Schizosaccharomyces pombe: one gene and its partners. The gene in region 2 interacts genetically with the main gene of each other region. Each region holds a gene or a part of one and is shown on either strand. Other genes may lie near its edges. The genes, in order: rad57, rad2, pnk1 and mst2.

Region 1 (3,855 bases), 3.3 Mb from region 2:
CACCATGATTAACATCACTAGGTAAACTTGCTTCACCGTTGGAATTTGTTTCACTTTTCTCAGCAAAAAGTGGTAAGCGCTCATTTGAAGTTTGGGCTTTTTTTTGTGAAAATCCTTGAGAATTTGTAAAAAGTTTTGGCTCCCAACCCTCAGGTATTGTAGGAGGAGGAAACCAATTATTTTGAAAAGGTGATTGTAAATTAAATACCACTACAAATCCTGGAAGGGGAGGTAGACCATCTGAGCAATTTTGCGATTTGATTATGCTTTTCCCTTTGCTTCTGTCTTTTTTTGACAGAAAGGTATGCTTAACGGGTGTAAATGGAGAAGCGACTTTTTTTGTAATGTTGATAGATTTATCATACCGCATTTTTGGAGCACCGAGGTCGTATATATCTTGATCTTCTATCCCATCATCATTTAAAACACCTGATCCAAATCCACCGCGCAGATTTTTTGCCATTCCAACTGGTTTTCTTTCCAGCTGAAAAACATCGTCCGCTTGATACCCGATACCGTGATAAGCTTGGTTGGTTAACTTAGTGTCATCATAATACCCTTGAAATGGAGATATAACAAAATCATGACCGTTCCATCCAAGATTTTTTAACATTTTTTCGCCAATGCTATCGTCCCTATTTGAGAATTCTCTAAGTAGAGGATCATCAATTGGTATAGATGTATCAATCGTATTTATTTTCGAAGTATAAACTTTACTAAGCTCTTGGTCAGCACGATCTTCCTCGTCCATAATATCGTCAATAGTCATTCCATGCACACTTTTGTTTTCATTCCTTGAACTTTTCCAAGATTTAGGTTGCCAACCCTCTTTTGAACCAACCGTATTAAAATAGCCAGCAGAAAATCCACCAGTAAATGCACCATGAAATCTCTTTCTATTACGCTCATCCCTGGCTTCTTGTTTCCAAACAGGAACTCCTTGATTAATTCTGGACGGCTCAAGATCAAAAGGGGAGCCATAAACTACATAAGGGTGCCGATGAACATCGACATTGCTTCTTTTTCTTGAATTGGCATACATTTTAAAACAAGAAGTAATCGTGATCCGTAGTTAAACTGAAAAAAAAAAAATTCAAAATTCAAAATTTAAGGCATATTTTAGGATACTATAAGCCCATTATTTTTGAGGCGACAAGAATACTATGTTGAGCAACTTTTAATTTTTAATAAAGCCAGATAACTTATCAAAGAATTCTGATTTGTTGACAAAAGCAATTACAATACTCAATTTTTAAACAGTTGCCCTTGCTTCGAATTTCAGCTGCCTCCGTAGTGCAATCTGCGAGCGTTAGGGTACGTTATTTATCTATTACCTAATTCTTTGTACAGTTGAAGTTTCATGAGATGAAAAATGTATCATGTATATTTTGTCTGTTATTGAGAAATCTCAACAAAGTTCTATTTAGTATTACTTCATGTTGAACCAAGCATTCATAAACTAAGAAATTTGTTGGTAGCTGGTAAACTGAGCGAATTATCGTCGGTTGATTGGTAAAACATCATTTCTTATACTTCGTTTGCTCAACCATACTACGAATTTTAATGCCTAACAATTAATGAGCAATACACATTTGGATATGCTGCTTATATAATTTCACATATCTTGATAACTTAATTATCAATTAAGGAATGGTGGTTAGGCAAGTATGTGTATCATTACGTGGGGTTTTTCATAGATGTATGGTTTGAAGATGTTAAAAAAATAAGTGTAAGCGGTTACTATGCTAATGTTCTATAAAAACCAATGTTCATATAAATATTCGTCGATTGCGGGGCTTCTTCTCATAAGGATTATAATTACTAAACATAGAGGTATTGGCAGGTCAGTTGTAATTCGCGTACAACATCTTCGACTCACCACTTCTATAGTGGTACATAAATTACCGTTTCTTTCTGCGAAAAAGTGGGTTAGAAGTTCGTGCTATTACTTCTAAATAATCGTGAGAATTTAATTCAATCGTAGGATACAAAGCTGTTCATTATATAAAACTATCAACTTTCGAATATTCTATGGTGTGGATATAATTTTCATTTATCTTTATGAGTAAAAACTATACATATCATATTTACAATTAAAAATCTTCTTTCTTTCTACTATATGGATGGATATTTCGAATTATGTTGACAATTTCTACTTTGATGAGAAAATTGCTTCAGCATTTGAATTAGGTAAGCGTTTAGTAGTTCAATAAGCTTGCACATAAAAAAAAAATATTGGGTTTTTGTACCGGGATCTTAAAAGACGGAATTACTGACAGCTTTAGGAGAAGTAAGCACGGTTGATTTGTTAACGCTGGATATTACTGAGCTAGAAAGACGCACACATTGTAGTCAAAGTGAGTTATTACAGTTAATTGAGCAGATATCCCTCCTTCTTCAACCAGTAAGATGTTCTGCTTCCAAAGTCACTTCGAAATATTTGACAACTGGCGATGTAAAGTTGGATGAAACTCTACATGGAGGTATACCAGTAGGACAGTTAACTGAAATATGTGGTGAAAGCGGTTCAGGGAAGTCACAGTTTTGTATGCAGCTTTGTTTAATGGTTCAACTACCTCTCAGTTTAGGAGGAATGAACAAAGCAGCTGTCTTCATTTCTACAGAGTCCGGTCTTGAAACAAAACGATTATTTGAACTGGCGCGTTATTTACCAGAAAGGTATCCCAAAGCTGATAAGAAAGACATAATTATAAAAAATCCAGGAGATAGGGTGTATACTATATTATGCCCAGATCTGGAATCTCAAGAACATATCATTCAGTATCAACTGCCGATTTTATTCAATCGGGATAAAATTGGGTTGGTTATATTGGATAGTGTCGCCTCCAACTACAGAGCTGAGCTCCGTTACAACCGATCCAAAAGTCATTTTAGAGATTTAGATAATATTGCCAAACGTGGAAATCAATTGGGAAAGTTAGCTATGACTCTACGCACTTTAGCTCATCAACATGAAGCTGCTGTTGTCATAGCTAACCAAGTTAGCGATAGAATTCCTAGAGATTATGATGCTATTGGGTTGTTTAGTTTAGATTATCAATCGCAATGGTTTTCGGGATGGGATGACACAGATCCAAATCCCAAAATACCATCTCTTGGTCTCGTTTGGACTAATAACATCAGTACGAGATTAGCATTAATTAAGAAAACCGACTCTGCCACCAATAATTCGGGGAGAATCTTTCGGGTTGTTTATTCACCAAATTCTCCAAGGCTTGACGTACGAATATGCATAGGATCGGTTGGGATATATTCGTGCTAGCATTTTTGTAAAAATTTTATATATAATATAATAAAACCGGTTTATGAATTGCCCTAACTTTGTTTAATCGACTGTCGCTTATCAATCATTCGCAGAAAGAAAAGTAATGCTTTGAGTAACTGTTACATATATAAGTGTACTTATTTATCTTTATATTTATATTACCTCTGTCACTATTAAATATATATTTTGTTGATCTATGATGGTAGTGCATTTTTATTAGAATCCGACATACTTTAGTGGACTGAATTTTGGATATACCAGTTGGGTATTGAAATGGAAAAAAATACAATAAAAAGTTTTACACGTAACAAAGAATGCCCAAAGAGCTCTCTTAACCGACGAATGGCTTTTTCTACCTGTTTTTACTATTGCGCGTAAAAGATTTTGTAAGACCTTTCCGATAGCTTCCGCTATTGGCGATCCTTTAGAAATTTGCACCTAACATTTTTACCAAAAGCCAAGTATGCATTGGTGATATCTTGTAAATAAAAAATGAACATTCTTTTATAACATAATCGTTACAAAAATAGAACACAAAAATGTCAGTTCCAATTGATCGAATCAATACG
Region 2 (4,368 bases):
CTGGCCCACTTTAAAGGTACACTTAATTTCTAAATTTTCTTTCTTAAATGGTTCTGTTGTATTGTTGCTAACATTTAAAGGCTAATTATATGGTCTGGCCCTTCTTTCAAACTGTGAACTTTTGGCTAATGCCCTTACAATACCAAATGCCATTTGCTTGTACGGTTGCTATTTTTTGGTATGTTGTTTCCAAGAGACATAAAGCATTTTTGCTCCTAGTTTTTTCGCCTTTGCTAATTTCAATTAGGAACATATTTCTTAGTTTGAAGAACGCTTCTTCAATGCAAGAATCTGGCTCACAAGAAATTGAACTATTTTAAAGATCTTTGATCCATCGTCCGAATCCACTGCTTTTCGTTTTTTGAGTTGTATCAGCCAGATTGTTTTTTGGCATATTATTACTTAGAAACGAGTTTTGTATACCATTATTAGCTTATATGATCAGAATTACCTCCTTAGACTAATTATTTTTACGTAAAAGTCATGCATTAAACAGATTTACTATTATTATAGCGTAGTATAGTTTTATCTACATGCGTCTTGCTTTTTTTAAGTTTTTTTTTTAGATTAATAACAATTACATGACTTCGTTTTCAACGCTTTTTCTTGCTTTCACCACCCTTATTTGAATCTCTTTTCCTTTTTGCTGATCCTTTGCTCTTTGTATCTACAGGTTTTTTGGGAGAAGAAGGGACTGGTTTAAAAAAGGAATCAAGACGACCCTGTGGAATTGTCTTTGAGGCTTTTTCTAGTCTATTGATCCCCAATTTAACACGATCTTCATTGAAACCTTTTTCCTTAACCAGAAATTGTATAATGCCATCTGCATCGGGACTTTTCCATTTCAACTCAATCTCTTCACCAGGAAGTACTTCTGCATCCAAAAACAGTCTTCTGGCATCTTCATAAGGCCAATCTTCCGGAATAGGATATTTTGATCGATCCGCCTCTTTGACAAAGCGATCGAGAGTCCCGTATTGCCTAATTAACTCGACGGCTCTAGCGGGGCCAACTCCCCGAATAGGTTCACAATAGTCACAACCCAAAAGAATACACAAGTCTACAAACTGCTCCACCGACATATCTAAACCATTCAATGCTTTTTCTATGTTATACTCACTAATTGGTTCCTTTCTTTGCTCACTAAATGTCAGGTGTCTCAAAAGTACAGGAGCTTGGAAGCACAATGTGTCCATGTCCTCAGAAGCAGCAGCATAAACTTTTCCTGAACGGGCTAAAGCGGCACATTGAGCTTCTGCTTCACAGGGTGCGTTAACGAAGGGAATTCCCATTAACTCTAGTAAACGTTTTGCTTCGTCATTATGTTGCCGAGTAACTTTGACCGTACGTTTGGCAAACCGATCCACCATTTCAGCTGTACCAACCTCTTTTGTCTCCTCTTGATCCTCTCGTGCTTTTTGATGTCGGGCCACACGTTTAGCTAATTCCCCTGACTTCAATGTTGGTGGTTTTCCATCAAAGACAAAGCAAGGCTTTATTCCATTATCGACAATTCGGAGTGTACGATAAAACATTCCCATTAAATGACTAGTAGTCTCGCCTTGTTCATTCATTAGCTGTTGACCATCTTGACTGCGAACTTGAATTAAAAATTGATAAAGACTCATTGACCTGTAATATACGAAATTAGCATTAATAAAGTACCTCAAGAAGACTTTATAAATCAACCCTTCGAAAAGGAAAGAATCAGTTGAATAGAGTTTGACCTATTAGTGTTTGCAACTTCAAGAACCAACAAAGTAAAGAAATGATGTAAAATACCTTGAGCAATGAATTTAACCGAGTCACTGTTAGTGAAAATTTATTCATCCTTTATTCTATATTTCGTTTGTATCATATCTTTGTCTCGAGTTAAGACATAGAGCTTTGCTCTTTAGCAATAAAAACTGTACACCATAGTGTTTAACCCATATTTACAAACAAAATCAGAAGCCATACAGTCTTTGCCAAGTCAACTGAGACTTTCGCTTTCTATTTAGTCTTTCAACTTACGCATCTATAGCCACTTTCCGTCCAAAATAATTTTTAATATCATTATGTTTGACACTGGCTGGGGCATGCTCGCTTAGTACTTGAGCCAAACCTAACCCAGATTAGTTTTAAGTAAAGGAGAGAGTAAAAGATAAACTCTTTAGCGTTAAATGTAACATACCTTTAATTCCCATCGTTTAGCAAATATACTTATTTATGTATATTACGAGATCCCGAACAACGCTTTCTCCAAAACTAGCTTAGAGCTTCTTATTAAATTTTCAATTTTTGCTAGATGTATTATACTCCTCAAAATCGAGCAGTTTTTACTTTGCTCACTCACACAAAGGTTCTTAGCTACCAGCAGTAGTATCCACGTCAAAGAGTCGATTCAGTAAATCACATGTTACTTTTCCATAAAGAATGATCGACCAAAGAATGTAAATACAAGGAAAGGGACCAGCCAATTTATACTGAAAATTCCCATGTATTATAGCTTTTAAAAAAGGATTTCTAGAAGGAACAAATTAGAAATTTTAAGATTACCAAATTGAGGTTCTTGTGGTTTTGGTGGCAGCACGGCTGTAAAATGTAAATCACCTCGCAGTTTACTACCACGAAAAGATCTCGAAAAGGTAATGTACCATCAGAAATTCTGGAAAAATGATCGATTCCTTTTTCCGGATAAGGAATAGGATGAAAAGTACATTGGAACTTTACCGAAACCCTATTGACTTGGCTAGATGTAAGTCTGTGTAACATAAGGTTGTTTTTATGAGAATAAACCAGTGGTTTTACGGTACTGAGATACCGTAGTGAGAAAGCCGCTTGAATTGCTCAACGTAATATTTTTAATAGAACAATAGCCTTGATTCATGGAACAATGTTGGATAATAGGCATTTTACCAAGAGAGTATTATTTGAAACTCGCCATATCTGCTACTGAATCGTCGAAAATATAATCGTAACCAGTTTATGGTATCGCTTGTGTAGTATGCAGACAACGAACAATATTGCAATATTCTACTAATAAGGTTCCTTTACCGACGTATTTCGTGCGGATCAAAACGTCATTCTGATCTTACGTTGGCAAATTCTAGTTAATGTCGGCTCGTTGAAAGAATATTATATGAGATGCTGCGCGCCTTGCTTACAGTATACTCATATCCCAGTGCAACCTCAATTTACCTGTGAAAGCAAGAACAATGTCTGAACAAAGCTCGCCATACTTAACATTGGCACCTGCCGATTACGAAGGAGAAGATGTCTCTAATGAAAAGGAAAAAAACAGTGTTATTCCTGATGTTATAGACTATTATAACAAAGGTAGACAATATTACCAATCGTTTGTGGTTTATAAAGCAACTGCTAATACCATTTTCCAATTTTCATATTTGTTGTATATATACATCGACCTCACTAAAGCTGATCAAACCGAAGTGTTACAATTTCTTAAAACATATGTTGAGGATGAATCGTTTGTTGGAGATGATTTTGTTATGCCAAAGTATACACTGGTTTTACCATATCGAGTGTATCGTGATCATGTAAAAAAACATGGAGATATTATAACGCCAAAGTGAAGTGCTAAATCTATTTTAATGTTTTCTTTTGTTTTTAAAGAACTTTCTGCTTGCATGAATCGCTCATTTTATAAGCAAATACCAGTTATATTGCTTCGCTTATTGTTATGATTTTTATGGATTCAAATCTAAAGAGAATTGCTAAATAGTGATTCATTAGTTAAGTTATTTATTTTTTAAAAAAAATAATAAATTCAACAAAATAAATGTAATCCTTTTTTTTTGGATCTTTTTTTCTGCTTCTTTGCTTTGCAAGTATTGAATTTTTTAAGTTTTTTGAATTTTGTAGCTTAGTAAATCGATCTGTAACCTTTTGAAAAAACAAACTTAAAAAAATACATGTTATAGTATGCACAGTGATATAATCAAAGTTGAACCTCTATTTGTTGATCCCAAATCGAGTTAAGGAAACATTCCTTAATATTACATTACTTTTCGAATTTACATTTGATTACAAAGAATGAATCTTGTTCATTGCAAAAAGGGTTCAAAATGTTATTCGAGTTTTATTCTCGATTATTGATGCACTAGGTTTGAATGTATTATGTTTAGTCTTACAAAAAAAAAAATAAGAATAAAAAAAAAAATAAATTCAGGGTTGGCTCCTAAAATTAGGTATGGTTTTCAAACTTTTATGCGATAAACTTATAATACTTTCCTAATTTCACACAGTACGCTTTATAGTTCAAATCTTCAATTTATTAAAGGACTAGTTTTACGTGATAAATGTTTACATCTAGACAACTCAAATTAGCTTATTACAAGTTTTAATAAATACGATTTTAAGCCATAA
Region 3 (5,826 bases), 3.3 Mb from region 2:
GAAAGAAGAACTTCGTCGTTTTCATCAACGAAGTTGAGACAACCATCGTGGGGAACGAAAGCGGTAACTTTCTTACCATTCTTGATCAACTGAACACGAACACATTTACGAATAGCAGAGTTAGGTTGCTTAGCTTCTACACCAATCTTTTCGACAACGATACCCTTAGCATGAGACGATCCACCGAAAGGTGATGACTTGTAAGCGGTTCCCAATAAGCGCTTCTTGTAATGAGCATCGGCCCAACGCTCCTCACGGCGATGATTGCGAAGCTTACGAGCGGCGTTCAATCCTGCGGGTTTTCCCATTTTGTAGTATAGAGGTTGCGGCGAACTGTGTGTTGGATTTAGGTGAACTTAGCTTTATGTCCAAAACAGTCACAAACCCTACCCTTCTTATATAATATAGTACGCAACGCTTCACTAAGTAAATTGTTGATGCCCATACTTACTAAAATTTTACTACATTACAAAAAAGAAAAAACATCTAAAACAAAAAACATACGTCTTTTTGATTATTTTGGAAAAAGGAGTTGCAAGTACTTTGCAAAAGGTTTGGTGTGTAATATTTAAGCTCAATTGGTATTTATTTGTTTCGTACTTGGAATACTTCCAAGATATTTAGTCAAAGTTTTGTGAGATTTAAAAAAAAAAAAAGATTTGATATGACTGAACTTATAAATTCCGAGCCAACACTCTTTTTGTTCCCGAATAAAGAGGATTCAAAGCAATTGGTTGAAAAAGCTATTGAGGTTTTCTCAAATATAAAAATCCCATCTACAAGTCCCATCCAAACAATTGTCACAAAAGGATTAGATAATTGGCAAATATATAACCAACTAGCATTAGCTGCCAAGTATGCATTAGATGATCTCCCTCAAGTTGATGTTGAAAACGAAGACGAAGAAGAAGATAGCATTACTTCTTTCCAGGATGAGGATGATGAAACAAGTCATCAGGAACTCTCTGACAATAGTGAAATGAACAATCGGGATGATGCTGATGATGAATTTTTAGGGTTCTCTGGTCCAGAAAATCTAGAAGATGTCGACGAAAGTTCTGCCGAAGATGTTTCAGGAGATGAAGCTGAAATTATGAATGAAGAAGGACAACAAATCGAACAGAAAAAAGACGCATTTGGACTTAATGATGGTTTTTTTGATATTGATAATTTTAACAAGCAAACCTTAGCTTTAGAAGAGGAAGCAGTCGAAGAGGGTGTCCTCGGCGATGAAGATGACGGTATTGACTTGTTAATGGATCCCGATGAGAATATGGAAGACTCTGAAGATGAATCAAATGGTCCTCAGGCTGACTCCATTATGTACGAAGATTTTTTTGGTCCAAAAACAGCGGCCGGTCGCCGTGAACTAAAAAAGAAAAAGGCCGAATCCAAAAGAAAAAGAACAAGTAAACCGGATTTCAAAAATGATGTGCAACAAAATGTTATTGAAGAAAATAATGAGAGCTCTGACAATGAGTATGCTACCTTTGATCGAGTGAAGAAAGATTTATTTGCTAGTGACGAAGAAGACGATGTTTCAGCTGATCAATTATCTTCTTATGAGCGCGATAAAGCCCGTTTGACTCAGCAAATTCGTGAGCTCGAGGCTGAAAACGTTGCCAAGAAGTCCTGGACCATGATGGGGGAGGCAACGTCTAAAGGACGACCTTCTAATTCACTGTTAGACGTTGATTTGGAATTTGAAACTGGTGCTAAACCTGTCCCTGTACAAACGGAAGAGACTACTGAGACATTAGAAGATTTAATTAAAAACCGAATTATTTCCAAAACATTTGATGATGTACCTAAACGCGCGCCAGTTGCTGTTACTGAATTTCGACCAAGCGAATTATTCGAGTTAAACGAAAATAAGTCTCAGCGTTCTTTAGCAGAAGAATATGAAGAAGAATTCCTTAAAAAGAGCAACGCCGACACATATAAGAGTGAAGCTGATAAAAAGAAAGAAAAAGAACATGAAGAAATCAAGGCATTGTTTTCGGAAGTCAGCCGCACTTTAGATTCTCTTGCTTCTTGGCATTATGTTCCCCCTCCTCCTGAGTCTACTGTTGAAATTGTTTCTAATGCACCCACTTTAGCAATGGAGGACGTTCAGCCAACTGCTGCCTCTGACACTATGGCATTGGCTCCTCAAGAAGTTTATAAACCGTCTAATGAGAATCGTGAAGGTGAAACTATTACTCGGTCAGGTATCGCCATTTCATCGACTGAAATGGACCACCAACAAAAGCAAGCACGCCGCAGGCGGGTGCGTAGAAAACATGCTGAGAAACGTAAGCAAATGGCTGAGAAAAGAAGGAATTCCGGTACTGAACAAGTCGTTCGTCAATTATCAAAATCGAATGTTGAGGTCATTGGTAAAGGAGGTGAGCGCAAAAAGGTTGCAAGTAATTCAAACAAATATCATCCGATTGTTTCTTCAAATCAGCTAAAGCTTTGAAGATAAATTTCGGTGTTAAGTGTGCTAGTCATAATTTTTATAAACGTTTGGTTTTAGTGGGATCAATAACTATATATTTTTGAAATTAATGCAATTTAATAATTTCTTAGATATCATTCGTATTATTCGTACCAATAATTCCATGTATCTTCATAGTCTTTAAGGCATTTAAAAGGAACTTCTTCAACATTTGTAAAACCTTCTTCTACTGTTGGCATTTGAAAACGAGATTTGAAAGAATTAAACGCTATCTCGGGAAGTTGTTTTTGCTAGAATTGGTTAGGAATTCTTCTAAGTCTTTCTAATGCTCCAACAGGTAACTTACGTTATGGTGAATGTAACGGAAAACGTTGTTGTGTCTGGCAAGTTCCTCAGATGACTGAAGATGAATGCAGCGTATAGGGATCTCAAATTCTTGGGCTATGTCAATCCACATTTTTCGTGATTCTATTGTAGGGTTTGTGTTGTCTGAAATCGCGTAAGTCGTTGAAATGATCGAGTACATACCTATGACAACCGATTTTTCTTTTTTAAGTGCCTCTATGGCAGCCTTGATGCATTTTGATTTCGTTTTTAAGATGTCTTGATTTACCCTTTCGTATCCTTGAGTGACAATCTGAGATTCAGCTAAAGTACTCTTCCCAGAAGAAGGAAACCCAACTAAAACAACAATTTCTTGATGCTCGGATTTTTTAAAATGGTATGGATGTGAAGAAGAATTTCTTACAAGGTAATTCTTTGGATGAAATGATTCAAAGTTTGGAGGCACAAATGAATGCCCCAAGAAAAATTGCTCGGGCGTCTCAAATTTAATCCCAATGTTTTCAGCAAACTTTAAATCAGTTGAATTATGATCACCCGGACGGCCTGCAGCATCACCTACGTATTTGATGAAAGATAAATCTAAAGGGTGAAAAATGTTAATAGGCCTTGATAAATTACAAGCGTCAACTCACCAATTGAACGGTTCACGTCTTTTAAAAAGGAATTCCACATTCCTGTCAATGGTTTTCTAAACTTATCTTTCAAGATGGCAGCATACAATACAATAGGTAGATCTAATGACTCAAAAATAGCACGAATCTTCATCTGAAAGGTATGTCCGGCAGAAGGTTTTCTTGGAATTCCGTTTTGATTACTGAAAATAACAAGAGAATAATTGTCTTGGTATAAAGCCTTCAATTTTGGGACAACGCTTGGATGCCACCAGGTCCAGTCAGCTGCATCTTTTGAAAATACTCTACCAGATTTAGTTTTTATGAGCGTTCCATCTAAATCAAATGCAATAAATTTTTTAGTCTTTTTTAGTTTTCCATACTTTGCTATGTATAATGAATCGGTGATGCTCCATTGAATTTCTATTTTCTGTTGAAGGCATGTCGAGGATGAATCAGAATCTTTGTTTTGAGAGCCGTACTTTTTTGAGGATTTAGACGATTTTTCAAAATATGAAGTTAAAGATTCCTGGGGGGGAGACTTTCTTTTTTTCGACGACATCGCGATTGACGAAATACTAAATGGGACTTGGTAATTGAGTTAGCTATATTATAATTGCATAGCAATGAAAATGGGTGGTTTCAATAACATACTTAAAAATGGATAACAGATGAAAATTTTATTTTTCGCTCTATTGAATTTTCAATTGTTTTTGATCAATTACATAAAATGCCTCATATACAACAATTAGTGAGAAGATATATTATATCATATAGTCCTTAATCGAAGATTTAATATGTTTACTGACTTGAAAATAATTCTTATTCGAAGAAATTTAGACAATAAATAACAAGAAAATTCTTTAATTTATTCGTCTAATTTATTATTTGGCAACCATTCAAAGATTTCACAAATAACATATTTGAGACCTACATCTTATTCATTAACAATTGCATATCTCGTTATTTACGAACATTAGTTTTTTTTTTTTGGTATCGTTTAAAATTAAACCGTTTATTTTTAAACAAAAAATGAAGGACATCGGCAATATTTTGTTTTTATGTATGAGCTTTTTTTTGCATTATTTTTTCGTTTGTCATTTATCTTTTTTAGTAGCTGATCTGGAATTTAAAAACAAAAATTTCCATAATTAATTAATTTAAATATTTCGTATATTTTTATATAAACATTATGGCTTCTACTGCATCAGCCAAGAATTTACTGATCGCAAAATCAGTATTCCACAAGATCCATATCGACAGAAAAGAAACCTGCATACAAGGCTAATAAATATCTTTGATTGTGTTTAATATAAAAAATTGATAAATTCTCGTAAAACAATTTAATTTTAATAATTTATTTGTGCTAAATTTTTATCATGTTGTGGAAATCTCCTTTACTATCAATCATTTAATAAAGTATTGCTAAAGAAAGTAACTTTATAACAGTATTACCCTATGTAAGATTCACAAATCCATCTTTATGCTGTATAAAATAAAAACATGCGATATTAAAAATATAAACCTGTTCCTTAGAAAATTTTATAAATTAATATAAGATTTTTTGTATACATTGAGTTACAAATTTTGTAGCAGATGTTGCGAATTAGTGCACATTGCAACCTGTACTTAACCAAAAACACTTTTCAGTCATGAGTGAATACACTACCCGTGAAGTTGGCGCTTTGAACACATTGGACTACCAAGTCTATGTTGAGAAAAATGGTACTCCTATCTCTTCTTGGCACGATATCCCCTTGTATGCCAATGCTGAGAAGACCATCTTGAACATGGTCGTTGAGATCCCTCGTTGGACTCAGGCTAAGCTTGAAATTACCAAGGAAGCTACCTTGAACCCTATCAAGCAAGATACTAAGAAGGGTAAGCTTCGTTTCGTTCGTAACTGCTTTCCTCACCACGGTTACATTTGGAACTACGGTGCTTTTCCTCAAACCTATGAGGATCCTAATGTTGTTCATCCTGAAACCAAGGCCAAGGGTGATAGCGATCCTCTCGATGTTTGTGAGATCGGTGAAGCTCGTGGCTACACCGGCCAAGTCAAGCAAGTTAAGGTCTTGGGTGTTATGGCCCTTCTTGACGAGGGTGAGACTGACTGGAAGGTTATTGTCATCGACGTTAATGACCCTTTAGCTCCTAAGCTTAATGATATTGAGGATGTTGAACGTCATATGCCTGGCTTAATCCGTGCTACTAACGAGTGGTTCCGCATTTACAAGATCCCCGATGGCAAGCCTGAAAATTCCTTTGCTTTCAGTGGTGAATGCAAGAACCGTAAGTATGCTGAAGAAGTTGTTCGTGAGTGCAATGAAGCTTGGGAGCGCCTTATTACCGGTAAGACTGATGCCAAGTCTGACTTTTCTTTGGTCAATGTTTCAGTCACTGGATCTGTTGCCAATGACCCTTCCGTTT
Region 4 (5,750 bases), 3.0 Mb from region 2:
CTACTCCTACTCCAGCTTCTGTTCTTGCTCCACCTTCCAGTGCTAGCTTATCGTCTTCCAAGGATGCTAATAGAAGTGTTCCAGAAAGTCCACGCAGAGAGAAAAAGAATCGTGTTACGCTTGACGACTTCACATTTTTGGCTGTATTAGGGAAAGGCAATTTTGGCAAGGTTATGTTGGCTGAATATAAAGTGAATAAAAAGTTTTATGCCATCAAAGTTCTGAAAAAAGAAGCCATTTTAAAGAATGAGGAACTAGAGAGTTTAAAAACTGAAAAGCATGTTTTCGAAGTCGCGAATAAAGAAAAACATCCGTTCTTGCTGAATCTTTTTGCAAGCTTTCAAACTAGTACCAGGGTTTACTTCGTTATGGAATATATTCTTGGTGGTGACCTTATGGTTCATATTCAACGTCAACAGTTTAGCGTGAAACGTGCAAGGTAGTACTTCAATCTTTATTTTTATTTTTATTTTTATTTTTTATTAACCCCATAGATTTTATGGTGCTGAGGTTTGTTTAGCATTGAAGTATTTTCATGAGAATGGAATTGCTTACCGTGATTTGAAATTGGATAATATTCTACTTTGTCCTGATGGTCATATACGAATTGCTGATTATGGACTCTGCAAAGAAAATATGTTGCTTGGCAATACAACTTCCACCTTTTGTGGTACCCCCGAATTCATGGCTCCAGAAGTAAGGCGGAACTTGTTTTGGTTTATTTTATCTAACGAAAATAGATTTTATTAGAACAGCAATATTCCAAGGATGTTGATTGGTGGGCTTTTGGCGTTTTGATGTATCAAATGTTACTGGGTCAATCCCCTTTCAAAGGTGAAGATGAAGAGGAAATATTCGATGCGATTTTAAGCGATGAACCGTTGTTTCCGATTAATATGCCAGCGGATGCGGTTTCGTTATTGAGAGGGGTATGCAAATTTCTAAATATGTTAACTAATTCAAAAAATAGCTTTTAACAAGAGATCCAAATCAACGACTTGGTAGTGGACCAAAAGACGCAAACGAGGTTATGGCTCATCCTTTCTTTGCTAGTATTGTCTGGGATGACTTGTATAACAAACTTTATGAACCATCATATAAACCGCTTATCAACGATCCCCGAGACCTCAATAATTTTGATGAAGAATTTACAAGTATGACAATTGTTAAAATATGGTTAATTACTAACGATCGATTAGGTGCATGTCCAACTTTGACACCTGTCAATACTGTTCTCACACGACAACAACAAGAGTGTTTCAGAGGATTTTCCAGTTTTGCTACTGAATAGAATTAGCTTGTCCTTTGCTTCTGCTTTTTTAAAATTAGAAAATTATGGTAACAATTTCATATAGTTCTGATGCTGCTTCCTTTGCATTCTTACACTTAATTTAGTGTACTCACCCTTTACATGATATTTTTTTTACTTTTCTACGTGTTCATATTTAAAAAATTTCTGCATTTATCATCATTACATTACTTGAAAATAAAGTCGAAATTAGAGAATAATTAAAGTGGCATTAAAACTACTAATGTAAAACTTATCGTTGAATCACCCAAGGTGACTTTGTAGTATTTATACGCAACGTTTGTAATGGCATTCAATCAAAAAGCTAACAGTGAAGTTATGAATGGTTACTGTTTCAGAATACAAAAGTAAAAAATATGAGTAGTTTTTTATTTAACAAGAGTGAAAGGGTTATCTTTGCAGAGATCGGATGGAGGTGGAAGTAAAGCAAGAACTAAGAAGAGAATGAGGGCACTACCACCAACTCAATTATATTGACCAAAGGATTAAATGGGGCCATTAGGAAAACTATGAACGATCTGTAAATATAAACAATCTTTTTTTTTTATGTATAATGCCGGCGACTATTTTGAAATCCACAGCCAGTTCAAAGACTTTGTTAATAATAAAGTTTGATACAAACTCCTCCAGATATCCATTTTATAAGAAACATTTATTAGAGTTAAATTCGGAAAGTACTTTTTTGGGTCTATTAACTAAAGGGCAAGCTGACACATCGATTACGAGACTCAACCAAGACGATGTGAGGCTGTTTGAAAAAGCAAAGACAGTAGCAGATAGGACAAAGGATGTGGCTTATTCATTTTCCGATCCTATTTTATCTACACAGTTGCGAACGCCTCCACCACAACCAACCTCCATTCGATACCTCTATTTTGGTACTTACCGGATAAAACCATGGTATACATCACCGTATCCAGAGGAGTATAGCTGTGCAAAAAATTTATATATATGCGAATCTTGTTTAAAGTATATGAACAGTGATCATGTACTACAAAGGCACAAGGTAAACAACTTTTCAAGTAAGATCATAATGTTATTCGCTATTGCTTGAGTTTAAACGAGGTGTACATTAAAAGATCATAATCTATCCAAATTGAATTTACGGACTAACATAATCAGATGAAATGCTCATGGAGTTATCCACCAGGAGATGAAATATATCGGGATAAGAATATATCAATTTTTGAAGTTGATGGTCAACGGCAACCGGTAAGTAATTTTTTATGCATTTTATACTTATTGATGTTTTTCCTTAGATATATTGTCAAAATTTATGTCTTCTAGCAAAGATGTTTCTTCATTCAAAAATGCTGTACTATGACGTTGAACCGTTTCTTTTCTATGTATTGACTGAATTTGATGGCCAAGAATGCAAAGTTATTGGATATTTCAGTAAAGAGAAACGCTCGGCTTCTGATTATAACGTTTCCTGTATATTAACATTACCCATTTACCAACGCCGAGGATATGGTGTCTTTTTGATTGATTTTAGTTATTTACTTACACAGGTAGAAGGTAAGCTTGGATCACCTGAAAAGCCACTTTCAGATTTAGGCCTCGTTACGTACCGAAGCTATTGGAAAATGAGAGTAGCCAAAGCTCTATTGGAAATCACAACACCGATTAGCATAAATGCTATCGCCAAATCAACATCTATGGTATGCGACGATGTTATATCCACATTGGAATCGTTATCTGTATTTAAGTATGATCCGCTCAAAAAGAAATATGTATTACAACTGAAACGGGATGAACTTGAGAATGTTTATAAAGCTTGGAATATCAAACACCCTCAAAGAGTAAATCCAAAACTTCTAAGATGGACGCCATATCTCGGAGAAGAGCAGATATCTAACCTTTTACTTAAAGAAAATATACTTATTCCTCTACCTCAAAAGCGTCTATTAGATAACTCTCATCATCTGGATTCCGTTTAGTTCAAATAAATAAGTATTTTAATCTTTCGATATTTGTCGTGAAGCATTTGTATCATCTACGGCTTGGTTGTTGCTCTATATTAATGACGCCATTTAATGCAGTAGACAACTCTAGGGAAAATAAGTTGATGGTTGAATTGATAGACTCACAACCTAAAGCACAATCTTGAAGTTGGCTCTTAATGTTTTGCAATTCGATTTCTTCTTCAGCAAGGTTTTCCACACTGCTTATGATAGCTCCATCAAACGAAAATTCTGTTTGTTTCAATACATCTTTTATAGTTGTACCTTCATTCCACTTCAAAGTGGAAAGACGAGAAATGCTTTGCTCCGGAATGTTTTTGAGGTTGATTTTTGAGTTAAGATCGTAAACTTTTTCAACAGAAGCTTGGTGCGGTTTAGTCGGAATGGAAGTAACAAGAGTTTTCTTGGCTTTTGGCTTGGAAGTGGTTTTTCTATTTTCAAAGCGCAAACTTTCAAAAAGGGGAAGAAGTTCATTTCCTATAGAAGGCTCGTCGTTTGGTGGTTCGATTTGTTTACCAGTCGAAGGAGTTGCCCGAACAGTTGGCTGACGGGACGGGTGCTTTGGAGGTAATTTAGGAATAGCCGGTGCTCCTGTTGGTTTTCGAGAAACAGACTTTGCTGATACTTTAGACGAACTGGAAGGCTTGTAAGATGACGTTAATACTGAAGGAGTTTCTAAGCTAGAAGATAAAGCTGCCTGGGTAGCATCACGATCCACTTTACTAAAATCGCTAGCAAATGTGTTTGACTCCAAAGAAGAGCTTAGTTTCACGTCTTTTTGAGACATATTATACTTACCAGCTTCTAGTGCCAAAGCTGTATTTTTCTCGTAAGAACCACTGATGCTATTCTTACCCCTTTCCGAAGAACTCGTTCCACTGTTAAATGAGGGTGCTTGTTCACGACGAGTAGTTTTACGTAAAGAAGGTTTAGATGGAAACAATTGAGCTTGTTCTTGAATAAACATTTCCCGTGTTTGATTATCTCGTCTTTGAGTTGAAGTATCGAATAAGACATCATCTTTTCGGTCTCCTGAAGTCCTTGCAATGGCAGAAGAACTTGAAATTTCTATAACATCACTATGGGCAGATGATGGGGTCCCCCGGGAAACGTTGGAAGAAGGCTTATTGTCAGAAAACCGTCTTTCTTTTTCAACACTCAACTTCTTTTTGGCTGATCGAGAAGAATCAATAGTGAGCTTCTTCTCGATGCGAGGCTGATCCGTTTCTAAATTGGTAACAATTGGGCCGTCCGAAAAATTACGGTTATGTGCGACTCGAGAGTTAAAAGATGAGGAAACTTGTTCTGAAGAATTTTCAGGTAATGATGACCTTGCTTTAGGAATAGCTAGGCTCTTTGCAGGATAGAGATTAGGTTTGTTATCAGCAAAGGAATTACGATAGGCCCAGTCCACTTTGCGGCCATCAGTCGTAGTCACTGAAAGCGGCCTGCCCATATAGTACATATAATTTTTAGCAACAGAAAAAACAAATCGATCGCGAGCAGAAGTGTCCTGAGTTCGCAACAAATGTGGCTTGTTTATTGTCATAGTAACATCATGATCATTAATTACAGTAATATTCTGCAACTCAAATAAAGGCCAGGATTTCACGACTGTCATTCCGCCTTTATCATTTACTTTCAATCTGTGTATATAAAAAATACGAGTCACATCATCACAAGTCAAAGCAATGTAGCGGGGTTTCATCTTTGAGCCAACAACATTAACTCCTCTTTCTTCCTCCACCGGAAGATATGCTAATGATTGCTCATGAGCTTTCCGTTTATCGGTAGTTTGAGCCGAATTGACAGCTTGTAGAATTTCTTGTTCAACGGCATTAGGGTTAGAAGCCATTCGTCTGAAGTGGTGTATTAAATGAAAAAAATTGGGTTAAATAGATAAATATTAACAAAAAAAAAACCATTAATTAAACATTCTACCACTTTCCAATGGCAAGTAATACTGAAAGCGCCTTATTCAACGGAAAAACAAATTTTCTAAGGAAACGAGACTTTTTTTTAATTCACAGAGTCTTTATAAGCAAGGGATAAAATTTTCTTGTAAAATTGAATTCTAGCGGTAAAGAAATATATAAATTTGATAATAATTTTTACAATTGTGGTGGAATGGTGGGTTAATAAGGAGAAATGTCAAAACGTAAACAAGTGACATATGTAGGCAAATGCTATAGAAGTCGATTTTTTAAAGTTTATTTAAACTTGCAAGCATTGTCTACGTTCATAATATTTATATATATTTAAACATCTTTAAATATTTTTGCTGTGCATGAAAAGTACAATAATCCATAACTTTTTTGTTGATGACTTCGCTGTACTTTATGGCAGCTTTGTTTATTCGACGAGCTTAAAAAATCCAAATTATTGAAACAGGAAACACATTGATAGCCATAGTGTAATTCTAATTGCATAACCAGCAACGTTTAAAATGGTTAGCTATAGTTAAGTATTAGTACTAC

The links.
Region 1: mutations in rad2 (region 2) and rad57 together harm fitness more than expected from each alone (negative genetic interaction), as found in Schizosaccharomyces pombe (4 studies listed by BioGRID, with this or other methods).
Region 3: mutations in rad2 (region 2) and pnk1 together harm fitness more than expected from each alone (negative genetic interaction), as found in Schizosaccharomyces pombe (3 studies listed by BioGRID, with this or other methods).
Region 4: mutations in rad2 (region 2) and mst2 together harm fitness more than expected from each alone (negative genetic interaction), as found in Schizosaccharomyces pombe (2 studies listed by BioGRID).

Annotation. Positions count from the first base shown.
Region 1 is NC_003424.3:2,121,167-2,125,021, forward strand, and holds rad57 (DNA recombination mediator, RecA family ATPase Rad57/Rhp57), read left to right. Parts: upstream 1-1,863; 5' UTR 1,864-2,123; coding exon 2,124-2,190; exon of another isoform or gene 2,191-2,285; coding exon 2,286-3,283; 3' UTR 3,284-3,340; downstream 3,341-3,855. Other genes in the region: gpl1 (Gpl1-Gih35-Wdr83 complex RNA-binding subunit), read right to left, coding at 1-1,042; whi2 (phosphatase activator), read left to right, coding at 3,826-3,855. UniProt on the Schizosaccharomyces pombe protein: Involved in recombination DNA repair and in the repair of gamma-ray-induced damage.
Region 2 is NC_003424.3:5,389,076-5,393,443, forward strand, and holds rad2 (FEN-1 endonuclease Rad2), read right to left. Parts: upstream 2,348-4,368; 5' UTR 2,187-2,347; coding exon 2,174-2,186; intron 2,105-2,173; coding exon 2,014-2,104; exon of another isoform or gene 1,837-2,013; intron 1,829-1,836; exon of another isoform or gene 1,633-1,828; coding exon 594-1,632; 3' UTR 511-593; downstream 1-510. Other genes in the region: SPOM_SPAC3G6.05 (Mpv17/PMP22 family protein 1), read left to right, coding at 1-16, 81-178, 248-320; SPOM_SPAC3G6.07 (uncharacterized protein), read left to right, coding at 3,198-3,575. UniProt on the Schizosaccharomyces pombe protein: Structure-specific nuclease with 5'-flap endonuclease and 5'-3' exonuclease activities involved in DNA replication and repair.
Region 3 is NC_003424.3:2,135,481-2,141,306, forward strand, and holds pnk1 (DNA kinase/phosphatase Pnk1), read right to left. Parts: upstream 3,988-5,826; 5' UTR 3,959-3,987; coding exon 3,418-3,958; exon of another isoform or gene 3,395-3,417; intron 3,365-3,394; coding exon 2,969-3,364; intron 2,930-2,968; coding exon 2,787-2,929; intron 2,731-2,786; coding exon 2,584-2,730; 3' UTR 2,462-2,583; coding exon of another isoform or gene 665-2,461; 3' UTR 554-664; downstream 1-553. Other genes in the region: rps23 (40S ribosomal protein uS12), read right to left, coding at 1-308; mpp10 (U3 snoRNP-associated protein Mpp1), read left to right, coding at 665-2,461; ipp1 (inorganic pyrophosphatase), read left to right, coding at 5,049-5,826. UniProt on the Schizosaccharomyces pombe protein: Catalyzes the phosphorylation of DNA at 5'-hydroxyl termini and can dephosphorylate its 3'-phosphate termini. Has a role in the repair of breaks in single-stranded DNA.
Region 4 is NC_003424.3:2,362,946-2,368,695, reverse strand, and holds mst2 (histone acetyltransferase Mst2), read left to right. Parts: upstream 1-1,761; 5' UTR 1,762-1,862; coding exon 1,863-2,315; exon of another isoform or gene 2,316-2,431; coding exon 2,432-2,521; exon of another isoform or gene 2,522-2,568; coding exon 2,569-3,249; 3' UTR 3,250-3,301; coding exon of another isoform or gene 3,302-5,128; 3' UTR 5,129-5,197; downstream 5,198-5,750. Other genes in the region: protein kinase C (PKC)-like Pck1, read left to right, coding at 1-439, 495-696, 741-929, 971-1,154, 1,200-1,291; exocyst complex subunit Sec3, read right to left, coding at 3,302-5,128. UniProt on the Schizosaccharomyces pombe protein: Component of the mst2 complex which is a highly specific H3 lysine 14 (H3K14) acetyltransferase that functions together with gcn5 to regulate global levels of H3K14 acetylation (H3K14ac), critical for DNA damage checkpoint activation.